Mus musculus: one gene and its partner. Each later gene encodes a partner of the first gene's protein in a complex. Links are inferred from orthologs where the notes say so. Each region holds a gene or a part of one and is shown on either strand. Other genes may lie near its edges.

Region 1 (3,650 bases):
TGCCATAGAGTTATACCTTAGTAGGGTAGAGTAAAAGGGGGGGCAGGATTCATGTATCAGTGACTAACCTGAGACCCAGTCAGGGCAAGGAGGCTAGCCTCAGACCCAGCCCCTAAACCAGGAGACTAGTGTTAGTCTCAAGCATGCACTTAAGCTAGAGTTGGCCTTAGATGATCCTGGGGTGGGGGGCAGCCTCACTCTCTGGACTCCATCTGGCCCTTGGAGGTATGCTGGGGGAGTGAGCTGTGTCCCGGGACAGTGCACACACCTCCTGGGCCAGCCGGTTGATCTTGAGCTGCTTCTCCTTCTCCAGCATCTCTTCCTTCTCTTTGTAGAGCTTTTGTTCAAACTCGAGTTCCTTCTTGTTCTTCCTCAGGTCCTGCAGGCTATCGTACTTGGCTTTCTTCTTCTCTTTTGCTTTCTGAGCAGATGGAGCATTGTGCGTGTGGTGAGGGTCACTGTTTAGGTGGCATTGGGACTAACACAGGACAGCAAACAGGGCATGCAGTTCTGACAAGACAAGGCTGCCAGCCGCAGTGAGCCCCCCTCCCAGCTCTGTCCTACCACAGTGGGCGTCAGACTCAGGCTGAGGTCAGGCAGGCCATGGATGCCCATTGGAGAGTGGGAGACATACTCCCTCGTCAGCCAGACCTGGCTTACTAGCTCACTGACTAGCTGTGTGACCTTTTGGCTAAGTTCTGTAACCTAGCTAAGCCTGGACTCCCCACATCTCTAAAGTGGGAGAAATAGCTGATCCAGGTTTCCAGTTAGTGCCCATGAAACACCATGAAAGGGCTTTGGAGATCTCTAAGTTCTTTCTAATAAAAGGCATTGCATTTACTTCCTAGGACCTGGGTGCTTGCCTTCCCTGGCAGCAAGGGGTGGGGGAATGGTTCCTGTTCAGATGCCAGAGATGCATCCTGGGAGGTTCCAGAGAGTCTGAGTGAGCTGGTTAACCTGATGTGCAGAGGTCACCTGTCATGGTCTATACGTGGGGTTTTAAGCCAAGCACACTGGATGCTCTACACTTCATCACTTAGAGAGTCCAGAGCCAGGGTTCCCTCTAAACTGGGGAATTACCTGAAAACTCTGGGACTGGGAGATGCAAGGTCAGGCTAAAGTCAAAGCTTAGAGAGGTGAAGTCCCTTCCACAAAGTCAGACATCTAGGAAGTGATGCAGGCTCAGACCTGCATCCTCCAGGTCTCAGGTTTCTACTGAGCTCAGATAATCAGGGGAGAAAGGAACACAGCAGATGGGAGATCACTCCCATCATACAGCAGGGAGCACAGAGCCAGCATTCAGAAGAGGATGCAGAGAAAGTCAACACTCAGGGTGAGTTCCGGAATAATTGCATCTCTACCTACCAAGGTTTCCTGCTTTGCTGCTCTGAATCAGCTTAGAGTCCAAGGCCTGGAGTGAGGAACTGAACTTCCAGCAATGGATGCAAAACTTTCATGTCAACCTAGGGTAGTAAGTGTCTACAGACCTTTGATGCACTCATCTTGACTCAACTGAAGACAACCTTATCTCCAATAATGGCTAATATGCTTTGGAAATGCTGGGTTTTGGCACCCATGTCTAGAGTGGCCCACAACATCTCAAAGAGGAGATTCTCCTTGCTTCAATTCTGCTCAGTTCATGGCCTACCCTGCTCACCAGGCCCCTAGCTCAGCTCAGGGTCAAATGCTCACACCATGCTGTAGGTTCAGAGGCCAATCCTCAAGAGGAACCAGAAAGGGTCTACCTAGTGGCAGCCAGCTTAAATAATGTCATGGCACCCTCAGGGGCCACCGAGATAAGAATGGCCATTCTATTGATTAGAAAACAAAACCAAACCTACAATAATGTCTAGATTTCACAGCCAGAGTGAGCTCCTGAGAAGGGCAGTGACAGATCCTGTGTCACCCTCAGTAAAGGGTATCTGTTGACAGATGGAGATGGGCAAACTGCCACAGAGCACTGCCCGTGAGCAACTGTACCCCCTGTACAGACAACTTAGTGGCCCGTGAATCTGCCTTCCCTGCCAGGCTAAGAGTTCCTGTATATCTGGTTAAGCATGCTACCATGCACAAGTTTTTCTGTGGATTCTGGGATCTGAACTCAGCTCCTTACACTTGGGAGGCAAGCACTTTACCCACTGAGCCATCTCCTCAGCCTCAGCTCACTAACCATGAATCCTCCATAAACATGAATTGGTGGCATTGAAGTGAGAACACTTACTTCCAGGACAGGGCTAGGAGGCATGAAATCTCTCTTTTTGTGTAAAGGGTTTGACTACGGGTGCTCACAGCTGTGGATACACCTTTGTATTCCTTAGCTCCAGCTACCGAGAAACACGCCATGTTCAGCGGCTCTGGACAGAGTGAGGATGGGTTTTCGGAGCTGGTGTGAGGGATGAGCTTGTGTTGTCTTATTGATCGTCAGTTATATTCATAGGTTTCCATCGAGGCTGAGAGGAGAAATTCTATCGACCGACCAACAACTGTTCTCCTTGGGAAGTGAGAGCAGAAACCAAAATAACAGCTGTTTCCATCATGACAATGAAACCGATAACGAGGACTTTAGCCTGACCCCATCACTAAGAGCAACTTCCAAGGAATGGGGTTTGTGTGTATAGAGCATTCCAGCTCATTTGCATTTCCATAGTTAATTATGTCTGGAGAAAACATGCCCTATCCGTTTGTACTAATTATTTTTCCAGTAAAATCTCTCTCTCTCTCTCTGTGTGCATACACATGTGATATATATATATATGTATATATATATATATAATATATATATATACACACACACATATATATGTATGTATATATATATGTACATATATATACATACATACATATATATCACATGTCCAAGTACTGGTGTATGGAATATGTTGTTTCCTTTAGCCAAGGTCTAATAGAGACTATAATGGGAAGAATTAGCAGTCTAACTCCATGAGATTCCCCCTCAGAGTCCAGCCTCTAGCCTGAAGCTAGGATAGCTACAAACATAGCCCAATACAAAACCATAAACTTACTTAAAACAATATATTATTTTTGAAAGGTGTTGTAACTCAATTGTATGGGAACTTTGTAGATGTCAGTGCCATGTCACAATGTCAAAAGGTTGGACATTACTTCAAGCCATGGACTCAGCTTGTGACACAGAGGCCACAGTCCTAGGAGACCACACACTCTCTGAGATCAAAACAGGGTAAGAAGGGGTCCTTCGGGCACTGTAGCCTAAGCCTGCTCACTGCTGTGGAATGCTGCAATCCCAGGCACATGTGTGTCAGGAATCCCGCTGCTACTGTGTAAGTGGCGTGTGGTGGGCAGTATCCCAAGCTCATGCTGCTGCCACAGCCTTGCTTCCCAGGGCCCTTGCTAGAAAGAGCTGAGCTGGGTCAATGAGTTCACTCAGATTTATGCCGGCAGCCTGATTTCTAAATACCAAGCCATCTCGAATGTCTAACATGCAGTACAGATATTAACCGTGGCATTTTCACAATCAAATACTGATGAAATTTAGTAAGACAAAAGATGAGTATTTTATGGGGCCTGGAGATAGTATAATGAGATTTAGAGAGAAAATTAAAGGTCTTAGGGAATGGAAAGATACATAATCCTAGCCCTGGGCAGAGATAGGTCTAGGCCATAGATGGCAT
Region 2 (3,650 bases), about 52 Mb from region 1:
TCCTGTGGTCCAGGGATGCTGGACATCTGTCTGTCCCAGATGGGGGCTACGAGGACAGTCAGCTCACCCCTGTGTCAGAGCCCTAGTGGGGCTGCTGCTGTTTTCGCTGTTGCTGGTTGCTCCTGGGCTCCCTGAAGACAGCTGTTCTCGGAAGCTATGTTGCTCAGTGCTGACTTACTGACTTACTTACTCTGCGTCCCCCCAACCTCAGGAGCGCCTGGCTCAGCTAGCCCGCGAGGATGCGGAGCGGGAACTGAAGGAGAAGGAGGAGGCTCGGAGGAAGAAGGAACTGCTGGAGCAGATGGAGAAGGCCCGCCACGAACCCATCAACCACTCAGATATGGTGGACAAGATGTTTGGCTTCCTGGGGACTTCAGGCAGCCTGCCAGGCCAGGAAGGCCAGGCGCCTAGTGGCTTTGAGGTATCAGGACTTTGGGGCAGGACTTCCTGAGGCACCCCAGAGTCTTCTATGTCTCCTGTCACATCCTTTGTCCTGATACAGAAGGCAGTGGTGACTGACTGGGTGAAGGACTATGAGTCTCAGACCCCATCCAGTCTCTGCCTGCCACGTGACCTTGGTCCACCCGCTATCCCTCTCTGAAGCCATTCTCAAACTTTTATCCAATGTCCTTGAGGATCCCCTATGTGCTGGGCTCTGTTTGGACAGTGGAGGGAAGCAGCAGAGGCCTTACCTTCTGGGAGGAGGGGCCGGCTCTGCAGAGGATGAGAGAGATGAGAGAGAGGGGGCGGGGGGGGGGGAGCAGAGAGGACAGCAGCCAGCGCTGCTTCTGTTCTGGGCCTGCGGGCTACAGGGCCCAGCCTAACGGTTAAGACACACCCCCTCTGTGTCCATCAGGACCTAGAGCGCGGACGGAGGGAGATGGTGGAAGAGGATGTTGACGCTGCCCTGCCCCTGCCTGATGAAGACGAGGAGGACCTTTCTGAGTACAAATTCGCCAAGTTTGCTGCCACCTACTTCCAGGGCACAACCACACACTCCTACACCCGGAGGCCTCTCAAGCAGCCGCTGCTCTACCACGACGATGAGGGTGACCAGCTGGTGAGGCGGCCTGTGGCTGGGTCATGGCTCACAGGACCGGGCTGGGGTAGTGGGTGCTGCTCTTGTCAAGTCAAGGTCGGGCTTTGGTTCAGCCCCCAACCTAGGGTCAGACCACATCTGCAGGTGGCTGTCTCTCCAGCTTCCTCTCCAAGGCTCTCTCTGTGGCTTGAGCCACTTCCACCGCCCTCCCTGGCTTTCTTACATGTGTGCTCCATCCTCAGGCGGCGCTGGCTGTCTGGATCACCATCCTCCGGTTCATGGGGGACCTCCCAGAGCCCAAGTACCACACAGCCATGAGCGACGGCAGTGAGAAGATCCCAGTGATGACTAAGATCTACGAGACCCTAGGCAAGAAGACATATAAGAGGGAGCTGCAGGCCTTGCAGGGCGAGGGCGAGGTGAGGCCACAGGGCCCCCAACTGATAACTGTCTTGGGCTAGTGGGGATGGTGTCAGCACGCCAGGCTCAGGTAACCAGCAGAAAGCTGTCTAGCTGTCTCTGCCTCATCCCTGCCCCAATCCCCTGCCATTCTCTGTCTACTCGTGGGAATAATGTGCGAGCCATTGCCAACTGTAAAGTTCTCATTATAACTGAGGGGCTACACTGCAGACCAGACAGACTTTGCAGTGGGAGCCACCTCTAGGGACACCTCACTGGGAGACCTCCGGCAGTAACTATGATTTTCTGAGTCTCAGCAGGGGCAAGGGTAGAGGGTGGCTTCGTGGCTTGCACCTTGTGAGCCTCTGTGTGGAAATTACACACGCACACAGACACTCTATAACCCCACTGTCCAGAGGTCTCATCCCTGCATCTGTTACATAGACCCAGCTCCCTGAGGGGCAGAAGAAGACCAGTGTGAGACACAAGTTGGTACACTTGACACTGAAGAAAAAGTCCAAACTCACAGAAGAGGTAAGAACAGAGCCTGGGCCCTGGAGGGCTTCCTTAGGCAGCCAAACTGCAGCACAGCTGAGTCGGGGGCCCTGGAAATGGGAGCAGGAGAACTGGATGATGCCTCTCTCTTCTGTATAGCACAGCACTGGAGCAACCACCAGACAGAAGTGTATGAAAATGCTAAGGGTGGGGGCTTCCCAGGGTGGGAGAAAGAATGGGGCGGGGCCAAGTACACACGTGAAAAGGAGAATACTTCTGGCTGATACATATACCATGCATTTCATCCTAGGACCTCTTGACCTGGGAGCAGACTTCTCTGTAGTCTTTTTGAATACTGGTACCACCACCCATCAATCCATCTCTTACCTTCTAAGACTGCCAAGGCCTTGCACACAGGGCTGTGTAGGCTGGTGGGGGCTGGGACAAACAGGCATGGGTTCAGGTGCAGGAGGCCCTTGCATGGCCCTTTCTGTCTATGATGGAGGGTCTCTTGCTGCATTTGAGTGCAATGCGGGGCTGCTTCTGTGGCTGCGTGGGGCCAGGAGAGAGACACACATCTACTGAGAACTGAGGGTGGCCATGTCATATCAGGGCCAGGGCCTTGATAATTAGGTGGTTGTGAATCAGGCTGTACTTTGGTGCCGTAGGTGTGAGATGCTGGCCTCAATCAGAGGCAGGGATGGAACACATCATGGCTGAAAGGCTTTCCCTTGGGTGGGACTGAGGTACAGAGACCAAGCTGGTAGCATCAGACTGGTGCTCCCAGCCATGTGGTCTAGTTATTAGTCTTTAAGGATGGAGTAATGACAAGCTCAGGGGTCATCCATGCATTCATTTGCTCTCTGCAGTGGCTGGCAGGGACAGCACCCCATCTATGATGCTATCTGCTCCCCGTGGGAAGCCTAGCAGGTGCAGCACCCAAGCCCCACCTGTTTGGCTTAAGCCTGTGTCCGTGTCCTAGGTGACCAAGAGGCTGAACGATGGGGAATCCACGGTACAGGGCAACAGCATGCTGGAGGATCGGCCCACCTCAAATCTAGAGAAGCTGCACTTCATCATCGGCAACGGCATCCTGCGGCCTGCGCTGCGGTCAGTACCCGAGGGGCAGTGGGATGCTGTGTCTGGGCTTCTCTAGGCAGAGGCTGGTGGTCTCCAGGCAGCTGCTAATGGCTCCACTTTAGCCACAGATTAAGCAAAAGGCCCGTGCTAGCTCTGTTGCTGGCTAGTCATATGACCCTAACCTATCTCCTTCATCCCTCTATGCCTTACCTGGAAATGTGGAATAAGAATAGCACCCACACCTGAGATCTGAGGGGAGGCAGAACTTTGAGACAGTGAATGGAGAGAGCAGACTGTAACCTGTAGCTAGTGGTTATCATGGCCCCACCTGAGCGGTCGGATTTAAACCCACTGCCGCTGGCTCATGTTCAGTGCAGCTGGCCCAGGCCAATGGCAAGGTTACTCTATGCCTAGAGAATCTATTATTTCCATCCTGGGTCAGGAAAGACCTCTACTAGTGGCGAGTTGGTGGGAAGACTAGAGTCACCTATACAATTAGATAGTTAACCCAGCCAGATGTGGGGACCTGAGCTTCTCAGGGAGCTGGCTTATATGACCATAGGTAAAGACTTGGGGTCCCAAGAACTTATGTTTATATTGGGAGTGTGGGACAAGAGACAAGTCCCATCTAATGGGG

Evidence for each region. Proteins that work in one complex are often made in the same cells at the same time.
Region 2: the proteins of Ush1c (region 1) and Myo7a are in contact, whole or in part, in a crystal structure (PDB 5MV9), measured with the Homo sapiens proteins. The link is inferred for Mus musculus from reciprocal best matches to the Homo sapiens genes USH1C and MYO7A. Residues at the interface, in NP_001284693.1 of Homo sapiens: Glu450, Pro456, Ile457, Val461, Val462, Ser463, Tyr466, Glu467, Lys479, Gly480, Pro522, Tyr526, Asp527, Asp528, Glu529, Leu530, Thr531, Phe532, Phe533; in NP_000251.3 of Homo sapiens: Phe1946, Val1953, Ala1976, Lys1995, Lys1996, Trp1998, Gln2017, Pro2020, Lys2021, Arg2024, Tyr2026, Ser2112, Ala2113, Phe2114, Phe2115, Glu2116, Val2117, Lys2118, Ile2128, Ser2161, Gly2163, Asn2164, Thr2165, Tyr2166, His2168, Leu2181, Glu2183, Thr2184, Ser2185, Leu2186.

What each region holds. Positions count from the first base shown.
Region 1 is NC_000073.6:46,210,891-46,214,540, forward strand, and holds part of Ush1c (harmonin), read right to left. Parts: intron 422-3,650; coding exon 269-421; intron 1-268. UniProt on the Homo sapiens protein: Anchoring/scaffolding protein that is a part of the functional network formed by USH1C, USH1G, CDH23 and MYO7A that mediates mechanotransduction in cochlear hair cells. Required for normal development and maintenance of cochlear hair cell bundles.
Region 2 is NC_000073.6:98,074,400-98,078,049, reverse strand, and holds part of Myo7a (unconventional myosin-VIIa), read left to right. Parts: intron 1-211; coding exon 212-421; intron 422-856; coding exon 857-1,060; intron 1,061-1,281; coding exon 1,282-1,458; intron 1,459-1,882; coding exon 1,883-1,972; intron 1,973-2,915; coding exon 2,916-3,043; intron 3,044-3,650. UniProt on the Homo sapiens protein: Myosins are actin-based motor molecules with ATPase activity. Unconventional myosins serve in intracellular movements. Their highly divergent tails bind to membranous compartments, which are then moved relative to actin filaments.